Linked DNA regions of Lytechinus pictus. The protein of the gene in region 1 purifies or fractionates together with the protein of each later gene. This does not show direct contact. Links are inferred from orthologs where the notes say so. Each region holds a gene or a part of one and is shown in the gene's direction. Other genes may lie near its edges. The genes, in order: condensin complex subunit 1-like and condensin complex subunit 2-like.

Evidence for each region.
Region 2: the proteins of condensin complex subunit 1-like (region 1) and condensin complex subunit 2-like purify together in Drosophila melanogaster (affinity purification with western blotting; 5 studies listed by BioGRID, with this or other methods). This does not show direct contact. The link is inferred for Lytechinus pictus from reciprocal best matches to the Drosophila melanogaster genes Cap-D2 and barr.

Annotation. Positions count from the first base shown.
Region 1 is NC_087258.1:13,122,659-13,132,477, reverse strand, and holds the start of condensin complex subunit 1-like, read left to right. Parts: upstream 1-5,631; 5' UTR 5,632-5,738; intron 5,739-9,819.
Region 2 is NC_087256.1:27,810,578-27,820,192, reverse strand, and holds the start of condensin complex subunit 2-like, read left to right. Parts: upstream 1-5,060; 5' UTR 5,061-5,167; intron 5,168-9,615.

The DNA of each region.
Region 1 (9,819 bases):
GATGGTTCACGACGACTGAAAATATTTTACTCATAGAAGGGCGCATGAAGTGATGTGTTCCCCCCCCTCCCCTCTTCAAGTCGTGTAAAAAAATAATAATGAAATAGGATAAAAACAAGAAAAAAAAAGACAGGAAGAAAAGGGAATGAGGGCGAAATAGGCTATCAACAACAGACGTCCGAGTCATGGAACTCTTAAATAACCTATTCAATCTTTTAAATATCATTTTCAAATCATTTCCCCCTATGAAAATACCATGGCGCCTCCCCTGATATAGTTTGGCATGCTTACAGTCAATACGGCACAGACTTCAAGTGTGAATTTATTTACATCATAAACAGGAATTGTTTGTTTTTTTGGTTGTTTTGAAACGTTTTTATTATTGTCAGTGAAAACTTAAACAATCGTCAATGGCACTATATTTTTATTTTTGATCGATTCAAGAAAAATAGTATGCCAAATAAATGTGACTTCAATGAAAATCATGCATGGCAATGTATATTATACTGTACATATACAGTGCGTCAAAAAAAAACTATACATTTTTGAAATGGCTGCCAAATAAAAAATGTAGCACTTTGGGGAAAAACTCTCACATATATGAAAACCAATAAAGGCAACTTTTAAATGATACCAAAAAGTTGGAAAACTATTCATGCTTGAGCGAGCACTGCCCACTGAAACAAAGGGTATGGAAATTAGGCTGGGCCGGAATTAGCGTTCCAATTTATGTCAATTTTTGAGAGGCAAATCCTTTTGGAACTTGCAAAGTTAAGGGAGTTGTGATAAATTAATGATCAACCGTGACCAGTTTAAGTTGTTTAAGCAAATTTCATAAATTATTAAATTGAACTTTAATGTATGAGTGAACGCAAATTGCACTTTTTGGGCAGCATTTCAATTTTATCATGTGGATCCCAGCAATGTGTTCATGGGAGTCGGGAGAATAGGGGGTGAGAAAGGACTTAAGTGGGAGAAGTAGGTTGATGGAATAAGGATCAACAGAACATTTAGCCCCCTCCCCTCCTGTTGGGAGACTGATTGCTATTGTCATGTACGCGTGAATTCCACAGCAGAATGTTGATTTAATGATGAATTCTGAATTTGGGCATCAACCTTTTCCTATCAATCATTAAATCAACAATTTATCAGTAAATTAGCTCATTCAAAGTGCAATGTGATCAATAAAACATTCAGATTTTTTCAATAAACTGTTTCATAAATCATCATAATCGATAAATTTCTTGGCAATCATTCTATGAAAAAAAAAACTGACCATCAGCCACCGGACATTTGGCAGTTAAGTTTTGAATAGGCTACAATCCAGGAAGTGAAACAGAGAGAGGGGGGCTGGGAAATGGGGGTGGAGGGGGAGGGTATATGACTTTTAATTTGTAAAAGGACAGAAAGAAGAGGAATGCCCCTTTAACCAAGTCTTACAATATCTCGCCCCCTAACTTGTAACAAGTACCATCACATTACTCTGACTCTCACGAACACACTGCTGAGGTCCACAAGATGAATATGCTACACTAAGTAACTCATGAAATTTGCCTATAAGAAACCAAAACTTATCTCACTCATTAATTTAGCATAACACCCTTGGCTTTGCCAGTTCCAAAGGACTAACCACTCAAAGAATTGTAAGGCTAATCCATGCCCAGCCTAGCCGAGCTTAGTCTCTCAGGAGGAGAGTAGTGGGGGAGGGGTTGCTAAATGTTCTGTTGACCTTTATCCCATCAACGTACTTCATCTATTTGAGTCCTATCTTACCCCATATTCTCCTGACTCTCATGAACACATTGCTGAGATCCACATAATAAAGTCAAAATGCTGTACTAAAAATTGCAATTCATGATCACTCATGCATTAAATTTCAATTTAATAACGCATGAAATTTGTCAAAGAACAAACTGATCACAACTGATCATTAATTCATCACAAAACCCTCAACTTTGCAAGTACCAAACAAAAAAACCTGAAAGAAATCGGAAGGCTAATGCCGGCCCAGCCTAATTTTCATACTCTTTGTTTCAGTGGGCAGTGCTCGCTCAAGCATGAATAGTTTTCCAACTTTTTGGTGTCATTTGAAAGTTGACTTTATTGGCTTCTATGTAATATAAGTCTTTTCCCCCAAAGTGATATATTTTTTATTTGGCAGTCATTTCAAAAGTGTATAGTTTTTTGGGGACGCACTGTATATATTATATGTGTGTGTGGGTGTGCGAGGGTGTGTGTGTGCCTGGAAATTCTTGTAGAATTAAATGTGTCAATTCTGTTATTCTTTTTATTAAATATGCAATTTTTGATTCAAGAGCTGAAGGCCGGGTACCGTCATTTATTAAAATACACAAATATATAACGGGTTGTATAGAAGAAGAAAGACGCCTGGCAACGAAGTCAGGCAAGTTAAGTTTACATTTGCAGAAATGGGATGAACTGAAGGTGAAAAGGGATTTGAATGTGAACAGGTGGGATGTGTCTAGTGTGGTGCGAGTGTGAATCCTGGTGTGAATGTTGATGTTTTTTTTTTTCTTTTTACTAGTTCTTTTCAATTTCCCCTTCTCTTGTATCAATATGATTTGCAGGTTTTTTTTTCTTTCTGTATCCTATTGCGCCAAAATGTTAAACGTTCATTATGCAGATTTGTATATATTATGTTTGTTTACGTATGCGTGGTATGTGCATGTGTGTAAGGGTGTTAAGGTGGGTGTGTGTATAATTATGTAAAGTTATGTTGAAGCTTGATTTAAAATGGGATGCAATGATAATACATTTAGGTTGATTTCTGTTTTCCTGCAAATCATTTATATAGCCATTTAACATTAATTATTATTGAGATACATAGAGGGTTGGGGACTCAGTTGAGTTTTTTTTTTTTTTCAGATATAAAAGTATAATTTTAAGGAGTTTCATTCCGTCTTTATTTGCTTCAGTTCTTGGTAAATATATATGTACTTTTTTGCATATCCTTGTTGATATGAAATGAAGATTTGTATTTTTTTTTTGTATTTATCTGCAGTTTATGTAATTCATTTGAATGAAATCCTTAATAAAAACATATTGAAAAAAAAAAAGTGAGTGTATATATATTGGCCTATATATACTTGATTAGGCATTTACATGTACAAATTACAATTCACAAGGTTTTTTTTCTAAGCTTACCGTTTTTCTCTTCATTCCTGGACATATTGTATATCGTTTATCTGCTGAAAAATAAATAAATTGAACAATTTCCCCCAGAAAAATTTGACAAAGCAAAAATAAAAAATTCACACACGCATGCATTTTTTTTCATATGCCAGATGCCCCCTCCCCTTCCCCGGCACTACCTGTATTTGCATGATGACCATAATCCCTGTCTGTATTAGCATGGGCGTAAATCCCATAGGGGGCTGCCAGCACTGGGGGTGGTATACCGGTCCCGCCCCCACACCTTTTAAGACAGTATAACGATAGTTTCTAATTATATTGTTGGATTCATCTTTAAAATGCAGTAAAAAAAAAAATAGCTTCAATTTGCCTAATTTTGAATTCTAAAAACGCAAAATTTCTCTTTATCATCTTACAAGAGTTAGGCCATCATGATAACAAATCCTTATGTTTAGCTCATTTTATTGCAAAGGTTTTTTCCGCTATCATGGCAGTATGGTTATATGAATCCATTTATGAATTGAATAATTCAAATGACTTTTAAATATAATGGTTACAATTTTTATCATAAACCCCGGGGGCCACTGCCATTGACGAGTGGGTACCATGCGCGACCATGGGGTCTCGAAAAGCACCCTAAACACGTATTTTCCATATTCTGAAAATGCACCCCTTAAGACGTATTGGCGTGTGAAACCCTCCCCTTAACAAGTATTGGAAACAAAACAATACTCTTGGCAAGTATTCCCTGAATTGACCCCCCAATTAAGTACAACGATATTTTTATTGTTGTCGTCGGTTTTACCTTTACCTGATTGTGTAGGCCCTATAGTACAGCCCCATCTCCCACATCTCGCGCAAAATCGTACTCTACTAACACGTAGTGTTGACTCTTCTGGCAAAAAAGTACATCCTTTATAAAACATATTAGTCTTAAATTTTTACACCCTCGCAAATTCGACCCTAAACACGTAGCTTTCCTAGCGAAAATAGATACCCTTAGTGTTTTTGACACTCTTATTACGTTACTTACGTAACGTGCCCTATCTTGAAAAAGACATCTCTTTTACGGTGTTTTTTTTTGGTCGCGCATGGTATCCATGCACTCATCAATGTAAGTGGCCCTCCGGGCATAAACCAAAACCAAATAAAACGTTTCTTAAATACACTTGAAGGGGTGGGGGGTCATATCCTGACATCATTGTGGAAGCGGGGATAGTCTGTACAAAATATACCCTATATTTCAAGTTTTTTGTTAGATGAGACACGCATGACATATTGATCACTATAATAATGAAACACTAGGGCTTCATGTTGTTACGACAGCATATCATCCTAAGAATTGTATTTGTTCTTCATAGGATACTTTTAATTGCATTAATTGATAATTGACGCAACAATCTATGTCAAATGTGAATTTTGCTCCAAATTTGAACGTTGCATCATCCCCCAATATAATTTTCAATATTATTCAAAATTTTTCCTTTCTGCGATATTTTCGTTGTCATTTGCATCATTGCCATTTCCGCATTTTTTGAAGTTTATCGGATGAGTTGCCATGAGATTCATTTCATAAGGCATTATAATCGTTATATTCGCGATAATCATGATCCTATTTTTTTATATTCTCAACTCACTAATTTTAACTAGTGAGCAAATGAGTTTTCATTGAATAAATCTCGACTGTTTGATCATTATTTTTATAATATAACAACTTTATATCTATTCTACCTTTCGTTTTTGAAAAATTACCCCTGCTATATATCCTCTGCACATTGTCAATTAAAACGACTGAAGCAATTTTTTTAAGGCACTCGATCACGTTTGCTCGTCGCAATTTTCCCTTGAAAGACGTTTTTCAATCATCCTGACTTCATTCCAACTACTATTTACTGTAATTAAGTATATATCGATCACAACAACAGTAGCCATTGTCATAATTGAAATAGCTCAAGGTAACTGTCACCAATAGAGATGGTAATACTATGTACAAGGACATAGCTCTTGATGTGGTATAATTATTGCACACTTGAAAGACGTTTTTGGACCCCGGGTTTTGGACACCATTCTGTCTTCCAAGTACTAAAAATTTGCTCGCTCACTCGCATATCAATATAAACTGCATTAGATAATTTATATCACAAAAAAACTCAAATATACTAGCCATCGAAAAAACAATCATGATAATGATGGTATTGTACGTTATAATTTATATACCCCCGTGTTTTGGGTGTCCCCAAAATGTTGAAATTTCAGGTCAATATATTGCAATCATTCCACCCATGCTCGGACTGTATAGTGACAAAACTGACTACTAGTATATGCTAGTAAACAATTACTGTACTGTAAAGTAACTTTATAGTACAGTAATTGTTTACTTGCATTGTAATTCTCGAGTTTTGTGAACGACTTTTACCGAAATAAATTTTTGCTGATTGTGCGATACCATAGTTCACAAATCGAGCGTTCTGATTGGTCAGTTCTCGTTCATTTTTTTACAATACAATTTTTCCGCGGATTTTGAAGCCGTTGATGCGGAATCCTTCGCCTACGGGAACAACATTTTGCCGTTTTCATTCGTGTTGGTTCGTATTTTTGTTCACCTTTTCATCATATGTATTCTGTCTTAAACTTTAATTTCAAATGTGAATGACTGGTTTTGATGGAAAGTAGCTTTATTTCTGATCGTTTCTTCTACAGCCCGGCTTTGAATTTGACCGAGTTAATGTTGGCTTGATTGGGAGGGCTACGCAGCCTCGAAGGCCAGCCGCGCCCCGAGCGAGGCGGCGAGGCAAGGTTGGGGGTATGAAGGTGGGCCCCGCCATGGCCCATGTCTGCGCACCTAATTATTTAACCTCAGATTTAATATAGATTTCAATTTACTTCACAAAACTTTTTAGTTGATAATGTTCCTTATATTCTTATGAGTAAGTGTGCAAAAAATCTCATAAAAATTTGAAAAAAACAAGATTTTCTTAAGTTAATGATTTATCATGGGAAACAAAACTCAAATTTCAAAAGTTAACTTAAAGTTAAAACCAGGCCGAGGCCCGAGCCAGTCATTCACTTTTTTTTGGTTTCAGATTGAACAAAAAATTGTGCCCCATGATGTCTGTGCACAATAAAGTCTTTACACACGATTCAGCTCAGGGATTTTGATGAGAAAGGCTGCATATCAGTAGAGACTAGAGGCGCAAGGCAATATGGGAGACTCCAATAGAGGAGACAATTTCCCACATTGGAGACTTGCTTTGCAAAAGGACAAAAGAAACACCAACAAAAACATGATTTTTTCCACCCAAAATTTTGTCTCGCTGAGGTCAGAAGCCCATTTGTTTTGTGTGTGATTGACAACAAATATCCTTATCAAAACAAAAGTAGACGGTGAATTTTTAAAGTAGACGGTGAAAAGGGGTAATTTTTCATGAGGAATCTGCTTATCACATTTTTATTTGCCGCCAAGGTAATCCTTTTGCAGCAAATGTAAACAAAGGAAATTGATCTCCAAAACTGGAGACTGTGTCTGAAATTGGATACCCAAATTCTTTACAAAAGTCTCTGATATTGGAGATAATCTCCCACATTGGAGACAGTCTCCAATATTGGCCATGCGCCTCTACTGCATATTGAGGCTGTCGGCGTCACATGAAATGCTGAAAATTTCTGGAAATGGCTAAACTTAAGAATTCATTTTTTTCCACCACTGAGTCAGGTTTTTTAATGAATACCTTTCTTTCTAAATTCTATGAATTGCATCTGTAATTGTAAAGTTTGTGGCGAGCTATGGTGGTTGTTGCATATCTTCTTTTAGAATCGCGCAGATACACGTGTGCGCAGACACGGCCAGGGGGACCTTACCATACATGTAGGATACGTAGGCCAGCTTGATTGGCGATGTAGAAAGTTCTAGACTTAAAAATCTGCTGTTTCGCAGGAGTTTTTATACATTTTCTGATTTCTTTTTAGTCGTCCTGCTACACAGACTGGAAGTATCCCATAGGACTCATAGTGCTGGGGTGGTATTCTGAGATAAGCTTGTAACCGATTTTGCAATCGGCAACCGATTCCATTCGATTTCACCACAATCGGCAATCACTTGCCGATCTTCGATCATGCCCCTTGAAGGAAAAAATCGAAAATAAAAAATTGGCGTAGATCTGGTTACAGTGCGTGATCGCTCAGAACATATTTCAAGATTGTTTTTGAGGTGCTAGCTATTTGGAGGTCGCATTATTCAGGGAGAAAGACGCGGTATTATCTATGGCGATGTTTAAGAGGATAAATATCTTCTCTTCCAACTCATGGTGATAGCGGATGCCGCCGTGAACTTTGAAAGGTCGTATTACCGACGGAGCTCACTGCGCTACTCTCTTACCCCCTTTATAATGATATAAATCTTCTCTTCAACCTCGTGGTGATAGCGGACCCCGCCATAAACTTTTAAAGACTGTACTATTGACGGAGCTTATTACGTTACTCTCTTACATCGTTTATGATGATATACATTTTATTTTCAACCTCGTGGTGATAGCGGACCCCGCCGTGAACTTTTAAAGGTCGTATTACCGACGGAGCTCACTGCGCTACTCTCTAACCCCGTTTATAATGATATAAATCTTCTCTTCAACCTCGTGGTGATAGCGGACCCGGCCATAAACTTTTAAAGACTGTACTATTGACGGAGCTTATTGCGTTACTCTCTTACATCGTTTATGATGATATACATTTTATTTTCAACCTCGTGGTGATAGCGGACCCCGCCGTGAACTTTGAAAGGTCGTATTACCGACGGAGCTCACTGCGCTACTCTCTAACCCCGTTTATGATGATATACATTTTATTTTCAACCTCGTGGTGATAGCGGACCCCGCCATAAACTTTTAAAGACTGTACTATTGACGGAGCTTATTGCGTTACTCTCTTACATCGTTTATGATGATATACATTTTATTTTCAACCTCGTGGTGATAGCGGACCCCGCCGTGAACTTTTAAAGGTCGTATTACCGACGGAGCTCACTGCGCTACTCTCTAACCCCGTTTATAATGATATAAATCTTCTCTTCAACCTCGTGGTGATAGCGGACCCGGCCATAAACTTTTAAAGACTGTACTATTGACGGAGCTTATTGCGTTACTCTCTTACATCGTTTATGATGATATACATTTTATTTTCAACCTCGTGGTGATAGCGGACCCCGCCGTGAACTTTGAAAGGTCGTATTACCGACGGAGCTCACTGCGCTACTCTCTAACCCCGTTTATGATGATATACATTTTATTTTCAACCTCGTGGTGATAGCGGACCCCGCCATAAACTTTTAAAGACTGTACTATTGACGGAGCTTATTGCGTTACTCTCTTACATCGTTTATGATGATATACATTTTATTTTCAACCTCGTGGTGATAGCGGATGCCGCCGTGAACTTTGAAAGGTCGTATTACCGACGGAGCTCACTGCGTTACTCTCTTACATTGTTTATGATGATATACATTTTATTTTCAACCTCGTGGTGATAGCGGATGCCGCCGTGAACTTTGAAAGGTCGTATTACCGACGGAGCTCGCTGCGCTATTCTCTTACCCCCTTTATAATGATATAAATCTTCTCTTCAACCTCGTGGTGATAGCGGACCCCGCCATAAACTTTTAAAGACTGTACTATTGACGGAGCTTATTGCGTTACTCTCTTACATCGTTTATGATGATATACATTTTATTTTTAATCTCGTGGTGATAGCGGATGCCGCCTTGAACTTTGAAAGGTCGTATTACCGACGGAGCTCACTGCGCTACTCTCTTACCCCCTTTTTTGATGATAGACATCTTCTCTTCAACCTCGTGGTGATAGCGGACCCCGCCGTGAACTTCAAATTGATTTGAAAACGCTAGCTACCCAAAACATTTTAATAACATATTTCAAATCATCGTGCGTGCTTGCGTCTTCTACTTCATTTTAATTGCACTTGCGACTTTAAGATGATGCGTCGTAAGAGATCATTCCAATAATTCTAAATCGCTAGCACCTAAAAATACTTCTAAAAGATGTCTCGCCGATCGTTCATTAACCTGTGATCTATGAGAAATATTTTCATTTTATTTTCCTTTGCGCCTTTGCTCGGAAGATGCGTCTTTTGTTTATCTTTCTAATAAAAATCACTCGGTTTATTTTAAAGCAATAACACCTCAAAACCCCTGGCTTTAAAACATGTTCCAAACGATCGCGCATGTTGGCGACTTCCATTCCAATGCATTCGTCTTTGTGACTTTGTCAGGAAGATGCGCGCGACCGCGAACAACATTTTGATGTCATTATTCCTTTGTTTTTAAACATCGCCGATTCGATTTTCGATTCGATTTCGATTTTAGAAGCTTAACTGCCGATCCGATTTTCGGTCTGATTTTTGATCCGATTTACAACATTATTCTGAGATCCATTTTATCTCAGATAAAATAAAATATTTTATCTCCGTTAAAATCAGTGAGATAAAATCTCTCCGAATTGGTATTCTGAGAACAATTCTATCTTCATTTTATCTCTGTAAGACACACCTATTTTTTAATCAATATCCAATTAGAAACGCGCTTTTATAGCTCTTTTATATCATTCAACCAACGGAAATCCATTCCGCTAGGAGGTGTGACGAAGGAGTGAGATTGCGTCA
Region 2 (9,615 bases), on another chromosome or scaffold:
GCCCCGGGATTTAGCCCCCAGAGCGAATGTACAGTTGCAACGTACAGGTCCATGCTTTACACACGTAGTTTTTTAATCCACTCTAACTCCATTATTCCCATGCCACCATCTCGGTCACAGACCTTCTCACACACAAGTGTAAACATCCTTGTACATAATTCCCTGTATCACACGTATATGCCGCCATTATGCCATGTGCAATATCTCACACGCACATGACCTTCCAAAACATCTCTCCTTGTATCACGGCGATTACACGTGATTAACATTTGTAACTGAGGAGGGGGGGGGGGGCTGAATGTTCCTAAGAGAAAGATTGTGCTAGCCTTCATCCTTTCACATTTTAAAATTATTTTCATTTATTTTATTTGGATGATATCCGTTCACAACGTTACAGAGTTTCAACGAACTTTACAAATCATAAAAATTGCCTGAATCAAGACTAATACATGGTCTACGTTCGCGATAGGCCCCTCCCACCACTTCGCGCGATCTTCAACTTCATGACGATAATTACGTCACGTACACGTCATATGGAGGTTTTTGCTTTGCATTTTAAAATTTAAAAATAAATTCACTAATTTTTTTTTCTTAAATTAATCTAGATATAAGACTTCGTCTCAAAACCATCTTTTTTAAGAATGAAAAGTCCCAAAACGGGCCCCAAGATGTTTTAATTGAATATCTTTAAGTAGAATAGGGTGGGTCCTTCAAAAATATTATACAGCTCAGCACGCACTTCCAAGACGGTCCCTGAGACATGAATTTAGGGAAAATCCCAAAAGATGCAGCAAATGCAGAATTTTTATTGGTCAAATTTTGGAGGGCGCCGCCCCCAAATCAAACTTAGCTCGCTCACACGCAATCCTGGTGACGTCATGGTGACGGGTCGCGTGTGCAAAACTTTGAATTTCCCCATTGACTTTATACACATACAAACTCTGCAGTTCATGTGGAATACAAGGACAAAGTACGATATTTTCCCATTCAAAGAACAAGTAGAGGTAAGCCATTCGAAAATATAGAATACTAAATAATTACTGACAAATAATTACCGATCCTTTTAATGCCAAATATATCATAGCTACCTGAAATAACTCAATTTAGGGTGAAATTATCAGTCAAGAGGGATGCATTATTGGGGCTTCGTAGGATCAACGGACGCGCTCGACGCACTCGCAATGGTATGTAGGGATTTTGATAGAGCAAATACCGAATATACCGTTGTCCCTACTTTTAACTTGATTTTTCTCTGTTTTTTGGCAATTAATGCCAAGAGGGAATATTAATTTGCATTTTGGTCGCGTTAATTTTCAAAAATTTTATTCATTAAAGACAAAAATTGAAGAGCCCCGACGGGGGGATTTTGCATTGCAAGTCCCCTAATGGTGGCTGCACGCTAGCGAGCCGTCTGTGTACGAGGAGAAATAAAAAAAATAAAAAAATGTTTAAAAACTCCTCGAAACAGACGGCTGCCAGCTGTCTAAAACTGCAGGTGCTAACAGAAAATTAAATGCCTGGGACTGATGATTAAATCCGACACCCGGCCCAGCCCAGGCCAGTCGCTGCGCGGAAATATAAATACATCTAATATTGTGCATCGTCAAGTTATAAGTAGACTATTCCAGTTACATTTAAAAGCGTTTCATTGAATTTTATTAAAAAAAAACTTACGTCGTCGTGTTGCATTTTGTCTGACAAAGCACCAATTCATGAATTTATCTACAAAACTCAAAAGTACAGAATCCGTGGCAATCACGTCGGCTCGCACATGTCACGTCGCAATTTTGCCAAATCTATGGTATCACTAATAGAAAAATGAATTGGAAAAAAAATACGTTATTGCCCCCATAATCCTTTTCACTCTCAAAAGTTAAAAGAAGGTCATTATTCAAAGACAAATTAAACAATGAAGGCACCTTTAATTGTTGCCTTAAACTGTCAATTTCATAAGTAAAAGAAATTCTTTTAATGGGGCGACAACATGCATTAGCAAGTTTACTTATTTTTGTAAAATTAGTGTTTTGATGGCAGCTAGCCGTTTCAGACCACTGAATGAGTAGTGAAAGCGGTTCCCGATCATGCTGGCCCATGGGCCCTGCAGTGGCTTCTGATATTTTTTCGCTTTTCAAGTCAAAATATATCTCCACACGCTTTAATTTGAGATATTATACGTCATTTTCATGATTACTAAAAGTGCTTAAAATGTACCGATTTTATGTCTAAATATAAAATACATTTCAACTGACTCCCGCTTCGCGCACTCTCGCCTTCAGTTTTTCCAGGCTGGAGATATTTCTATCTCAATAAAAAGAGTAAAATTCACAGAGCAGAATTTTTCTTTTTTTTTAAACAAGTGCACACCAAGTTACCAATAATGCCTATAGCATTTCCATTTATTTGAAAGCAGGATAAGAGAGCATTGCACATTAAATGCCTTGCTCACAGGCATCGATGTGCCGCGGCCGGGGATCGAAACCGGGACTTTTTTTATGTATAGCCAGGCGCCTTAGACCACTCGGCCACGGCACCTTCAGCAGAATGCTGAAAATTTGATCAAAATCGGATAACAAATAACAAAGTTATTGAATTTTAAATATTTGAATTATTCCGGTGAAACTATTCTAGGCATGTCTTTATAAATATTCATTAGGTGGGCTGATGATGTCATATCCCCCACTTGTTCTTTTGTATTTTATTATATAAAATTAGATTTATTCAAATTTTTCTACCAAGAACTCAAACAATTGGATTGACAACTGATTAAGTGCATTAGTTATTTATTGCCGCAACTTATTTCATCATAATGCAGACACATCATTTACACATGTATGAAAAAATGAAACATTTATGATTTCATGTAATTACAAAATAAAAAGGAATGTGACATCATAAGCCCATCATATAACTGTTTTCACAAAATAGTGATAAATTTTAAAATTCAATAACTTAAATCGTTATAATTGTTATCCGATTTTGATAAAATTTTTAGCATTTTGCTTTGTGAATTTTACTCCATTTATTCAGATATAAATATTTTCAGCCCGGCCGGACCATCCCTTTAATGATTTAATTAGATAAATATGTTCAGTCCTAAAAATAGTCTTTAAAATGTTAATTTACATGTCTGAATATCAAAAATCTACAACTTGCACTTCGCGCCCGAGTATATGTGGATGGTGTTCTTCATAAATGAAGCGCTATGTTTGCTATCGCAAGGTTTGATTAGTAGGATACTTCTCTTGGTTTTACATTGCTTATATGTGCTTAGAATTTCTTTGTTTTTAGGTCTCAAGGTCTCGATCTATTAACCAAAAATTCAACTCGCGGCGCCGCATTATCATTATTATAATTATTATTATTATTATTAGTATAGTAGTAGTAGTAGTAGTCAGGCGCGGATCCAGGGGGGCACAGGGGGCACGTGCCCCCTTTTATTATTTATTATTATTATTATTTGAGATCACGCGCTCACATTCTTCATAAGGCTATAAGGTGTAGTTAAAACACCATGGCCCGTATTTTGAACTCGAGTTTAAATCAATCCCTGGTTTAAAGTTGTGGTTTAATATAAATATATATTTACTCATTCGACACCCCAATTGTTCACAATTGCCTGAGAATGGCAACGGAATTATTTTCCTTTGTAATGAATGCAAAATGAAACAAAATATTAAACATAAGAAATTCATAATATAAAGATAATTTTTGACTCCCATAATTTTAGCACATCGGTAGAGTTGGACCTTGGTCTAAATTAAACCTGACTTGGAAATACGGGCCTACAGTCTTTATATACATAGGACTGCCCCCCCCCCAAAAAAAAAAGGCCTTCAAACACAAAAAAAAATCAGCTTTTAGCAGTCAATTGGGGGAAATGTGAATGAAAAATAATGTTCCGTCCCTCCTATTTGCCTTTTGTATCCCCTTCTCGTGCCCTCCACCCGCTCGATCGCTTTGCTTTCTCGCCGAGGATCTCACAACGTCACAAAAATTGTGCTCCGACCTTCAAGATTTTGCCCCCTCAAATCTTAAAGTGTTCCGGCGCGCCTGTCTTTAATGTCTTGCAACGTAACTTTAACTACTAACTATACCGTCCTTTATTCAATAAATTGAGGCAAAACATCTTAATGGTTTTAAAAATATACTTTATTGAGGGTATAGTCAGTGGAGGGATGATCAAGATATTGTGATTGGCGATGGTCAAATAAATGAATAGATAAAAAATCTGTGAACTATAGGCGCGTTAATTATTTATATTAAGCATTATGTTGTACAATTTCCATATTCAAGGATAATTTTTTTTTCATCGTTAAGTGCCAGAAAAGAAGAAAAATAGGCCTATAACTATATTACAAAAACTTTGACAAACAAAAAAGGAGTATTTTAGAAACCGGACCCCAGCCTTTAAATTGGCGGTTCATCTATCACCCCCCCCCCCCTCCCCCTCTAGCTCCCCTGTCATCCGCCATGTCCTGAAATAAATTTTGGTGGAGCTTTAATAGCTAAATGGTTATTTCATAGTGGAAAGACCTATACAAAAAATTTTTTCGCCCCCAATCCAAGTCATAATTTGTCTTTCCTGTCAGTCTTTATTTTCCATTTACTGCAATGTGTTTTCTCCCGTTTTTTCTTCTAATTTCCTTTCCTTCCCTTTTCCCTCAACCTTCCCCGTATCTTTCCCTTTTTCCGAATTAGGCCTGGACTTCCTTGCTCCTGCCCCATTTTTTCAAAATATGGGTATGAAATGGGATTTAAAAAATGAATTTTATTTCAAATAGGGCCTAGGCACTGAAAGTGCGAGCGGGGCCGGGGGTCAATAATTAGGACTCGGACAAGTGTATTTTTAATCAGCGCAATTTTACTCTAGATAAGCCTGCGAATGATTGTCGACCGCTCACTGCCAAGAATTCTTAATAAAGCCCCCCCCCCCCCTTCACCTGCTTCCCCGCCCGGGGGGGGGGGGGGCGATTCGAACGAGCGCGAGCTAGCTAGCTACAGCAAGCGATCGAGCGAGCGGCGCGAGAGAGCGCATGGAGCCAAGATTATCGGCTGCGCATGCGCACCTACTCAAATGTCTTCAGCGCCATTTTCAATATTCGCAAAAGTTGTTTGTAAACAAGCCGCAAGTATTTGTCCTTATAAGTCTATTGAACATTTTATTAAGGTGAGTTTTTTTTAGCTATGTACTAGGCCTAAATTTGTAATTGGTTAGAAGGTGCGCCCGAAATTGTTATTATAGGCGTAGAATAGTAAACGTAACAAGTTGCAGTTTCTTCTAGATCTAGGCCTACTGGAATCTTACATCAGTCCCACCTATTAAATTCTGTGACTGTTAATGTTATTTAATACGAAGACTGTTCGGACAAAAAAAAACATAAATTAAAATCATCATGCTCTGGGTTTTCTTGACATACATGCATCATATATTATATCACAAATAATTATGAAGTTTTTTATTTTAATGTTGTTTGAGAGCAATTTTTAAACAATTGAGGCCTGAGGCGTGCTAAAAAAAACAAAATTAAATAAAAATGACAAAATACCGTATGGGTACTAGTATTCAACCCGGCATAATTCAAAGATTTTGACATATTCCCCAAAATATTTAGAAATGGGGAATTTATCTTAATTTCACACCTTTGTTATTTCCAGGGTAATCTGTTGTCGATATTTTCTTTGTCAATCTGTCGACTGTATGCGCGGAGGGTCGAATTATGCGGCGATGGCCTTTTGCACTGAATGGTACTAGTATTCAACCTAGTGAGGATTGATAGCAAATCTCAAAAGGGTTTAGATTGCTAAATTAGATCTAGATCTATGTAAGACTCTGGCTTTGATTAATTCCCTGTTTGGTCTCATCTCAAATGGTCTAGTCCATAGTCGGATGGGACAAGGGCAGATTGAGAGACAGGGCCATCTTTCATCGCTAGGTTGAATACTAGTACCGACGGGTTGAATACTAGTACCAAAATCCGTCGCCGTATAATTCGATCGCCCGCGCACACAGTCAACTGGTTGAAGAAAAAAATAACGGAAAAAGAATAACCAGCATTTGCTCTTGGAAATAAGACGGGTCTGAAATTCAGGTAAATTCTATATTTCTATATATTTGAGGAAACTCTCCAAACGGGTTGAATACTAGTGCCCTTACGGTACATAAGTTTAACATAATTCAATTGCCATGGCCCATGTCCATGAATCATGAAGGCATGATTGCATCATTGCAGTCAAAAATCCTGATGGGTTGACTTGGAATTCTGCAACCTTTACCGTTGCAGGAAATATTTTTTACACCGGCAGTGCAGAACAGAGGCAGAGGAAACAATCTAAAAATTTCTTGAAACGATCAAGACTGGATGTTTGGAGTAAATTTTTCACTCAAACAAGAGTTGTAAAAAAAATGTAAATTAGACTAGGCCTAAGCTAAGTCTAAGTTAGATCAATGGTCATTTTGCCTCCGACGAAGATTCTGCTAGGATCGAAAGCTTAGGCCCCTTTTTGACTTTCTAAGTTAGATCGACTTAGACTAGAGAGAGAAATGACCGAGATAATCTGAGATTTTTGCCTTTTTTTCATGTTTTTGCAATTTTGTGGCGTGTCGTCTGTCGTCCGTCCACAATTTCAAAATGCTCCTTCGCCATTTCAATTCTGTTTGCTTTATATAAAACTCATTAAATATGCTAATTTATATGCATTTTTCAAAATTCACAAAAAATGCTTCTTTATTTTTTGACCGATTTTGATTTTTTTGCTTCCATCTGGTAGAGCTTCATGAGGTTCACTAAACTTCTACACAGAATTTTTAAATTTGGAGTAGAAAATTATGCTAATTTATGCGAAATTAACTCATGCATATTTTTTAAAATTCACATAAAATGCTTCTTCTTCTTTATTTTTTGACCGATTTTGATTTTTTTCTTCCATCTGGTAGAGCTTCATGAGGTTCACTAAACTTCTTCACAGAATTTTTAAATTTGGAGTAGAAAATTATTTATGCTAATTTATGCAAAATTCATAAATCACAGAAAATGCCTCTTCTTTATTTGTTGACTGAATTTCAAAACGCTTCTTGTTCATCATTTAAAGTCTGATTTCAATTATGTTTGCTTTATATGATAGCATTAGGTGGGGGATTTAAAACTTCTACACAGAATTTTGAAACTCATAAAATATGCTAATTTATGCGTATTTTTCAAAAAATTCTAATAAAATGCTTCTTTAATTATCGACCGATTTTGATTTTTAGAATTTTGAAATTTTCAGTAGAAAATTATTCATACCAATTTATGCAAAATGTATTCATAAATCACAGAAAATTCCACTTCTTCATTTTTGTTCCATCTGAGAGCTACATGAGGTTCACCAAGGTTCTACACAGAGTTAAGAAATTTTGACTAGAAAATTATTTATGCTTAATTTATATGAAATTTATTCATAGATCACAAAAAAATGCTTCTATGTCATTTCTTCATCAATTTCAATTCTATATCCTCAATTTATGTCACCAATGTAATTCACTACAGTGTCAACTGGGCTGAAATTAAAATTGTGTTAAAGGAGAATAAAACCCTTGAAACCAGCTGAATCCATATCAAAGAGAAAAATCAAAGAAACATATTGTTGAAAGTTTGAGCAAGATTGAATGAATAATAAGAAAGTTATGAGCATTTGAATATTGAGATCACTAATGCCATGTAGATCCTCCCATTGGCAATACGACCAAGATCTGTGATGTCACACACGTACAACTCCCTCATTACTTTAGTACTTATTTCACTTATATTCTCATTTTTATAGAGTCTATCACAAGGTGAGGTGTTCTCTTTATGAGAGGACAAGTACAGAGGTTTCACAACATTATATCATTGATGAATCGTTTGTCATATGATTAGAATGAGCAAAAAGAGATGTTTTGGGGTATATTTTCAGTGTCCAAAAGGGGAGAGTTGTTCATCTGTGCCATCATAGATCTTGGTCGCATTGTCAATGGGAGGATCTCCATAGCATTTAGTGATCTCGACGTTCAAATGCTCATAACTCTTCTATTGCTAGTCCTATTTTACTCAAACTTTTGTTGATCTTATTCTTTGATTTTTCTGCTTTCACAAAAGCTAACTTGCTCCAAGAGTTTCATTCTCCTTTAAATTTCGTTGCGAGATGCCGGATGAGCTCCACATCATTGATATGCTAGTTTTTTGTCTCACCTGCATAGCAGAGTGAGACTATAGGCGCCGCTTTTCCGACGGCGGCGGCGGCGGCGTCAACACCAAATCTTAACCTGAGGTTAAGTTTTTGAAATGACAGCATAACTTAGAAAGTATATGGACCTAGTTCATGAAACTTGGCCGTAAGGTTAATCAAGTATTACTGAACATCCTGCCTGAGTTTAATGTCACATGACCAAGGTCAAAGGTCATTTAGGGTCAATGAACTTAGACCATGTTGGGGGAATCAACATCAAAATCTTAACCTAAGGTTAAGTTTTTGAAATGTCATAACTTAGAAAATATATGGACCTAGTTCATGAAACTTATACATAAGGTTAATCAAGTATCACTGAACATCCTGCATGAGTTTCACGTCACATGACCAAGGTCAAAGGTCATTTAGGGTCAATGAACTTTGGCCAAATTGGGGGTATCTGTTGAATTACCATCATAACTCTGAAACAACCAAAACATTACTTTTTTTCTTTCCAGGGCTCTTTTTGGAGAAACTTAAAAATTTTCCAGGGCTACTTTTTCATTTTCCAGGGCTCTTTTTCCACTTTCCAGGGCTACAATTTCTGGAGCTATTTCGCGGCTTTTTTGCGTTTGTGTGTGTGTGTATGTGTGTGTGTGTATATATATACACGGTAGCTAGCATATACCAGGGAAGTATAACACTTCCCTGGTTTGACCTTCGCATTGTTTCTTCGAAGTGATTGTTTATGATTTTAGTGTTGTGATGATAGATTGATTTTGATGCTTGAACGATATCTGAGTTGATTCATGGACCTAATACAGACCTATTCAGATTAAATCATGGAGGTAGAACCTCCATGAATTAATCCAAGTTTGAATGTTTGATACTTGGTTGACGTGAGCTTTGCGTGTTTACTATTTAGTGTTATAGCCCATTTGCTAAATTAATCTAGAAAGATCTGTATTCGTGTCTAAAGACAATGTAAAAGAAAAAGAAAGTTCTGAATTTGTACAATTCTGAGGTAATTTATTTTATCATACAATATAGGTACCTGCAAATGTTATGAAGTTGAACAAATATCCTTCGTACATATTTGACTGAAAGTTATTTAAATGACACTTTTTAAAAAAGACTTAAAATTATTCATACAAAATAATGATATAAGTCATAAAGGTAATTGAATTGTTAAGCGTTCGTATCAGTTACACAGATTCATGACAAAAAGGCCTACCAGAACCAAAACTGGCAATTTCCATCATCCATCATGAATGCCTAGCCTTGCACGGCCTCTAATTGAAATGAACTTATCCACGTCTTTGCAAATTTTACCTGACCTAATTTCTCCACACAGTGAGAGAGGCCATGTGGCAGCCAAACCAAAACAGAATGAAAAGGGCGGCAATCTCGTACCCCCCCCCCCCCCCACCA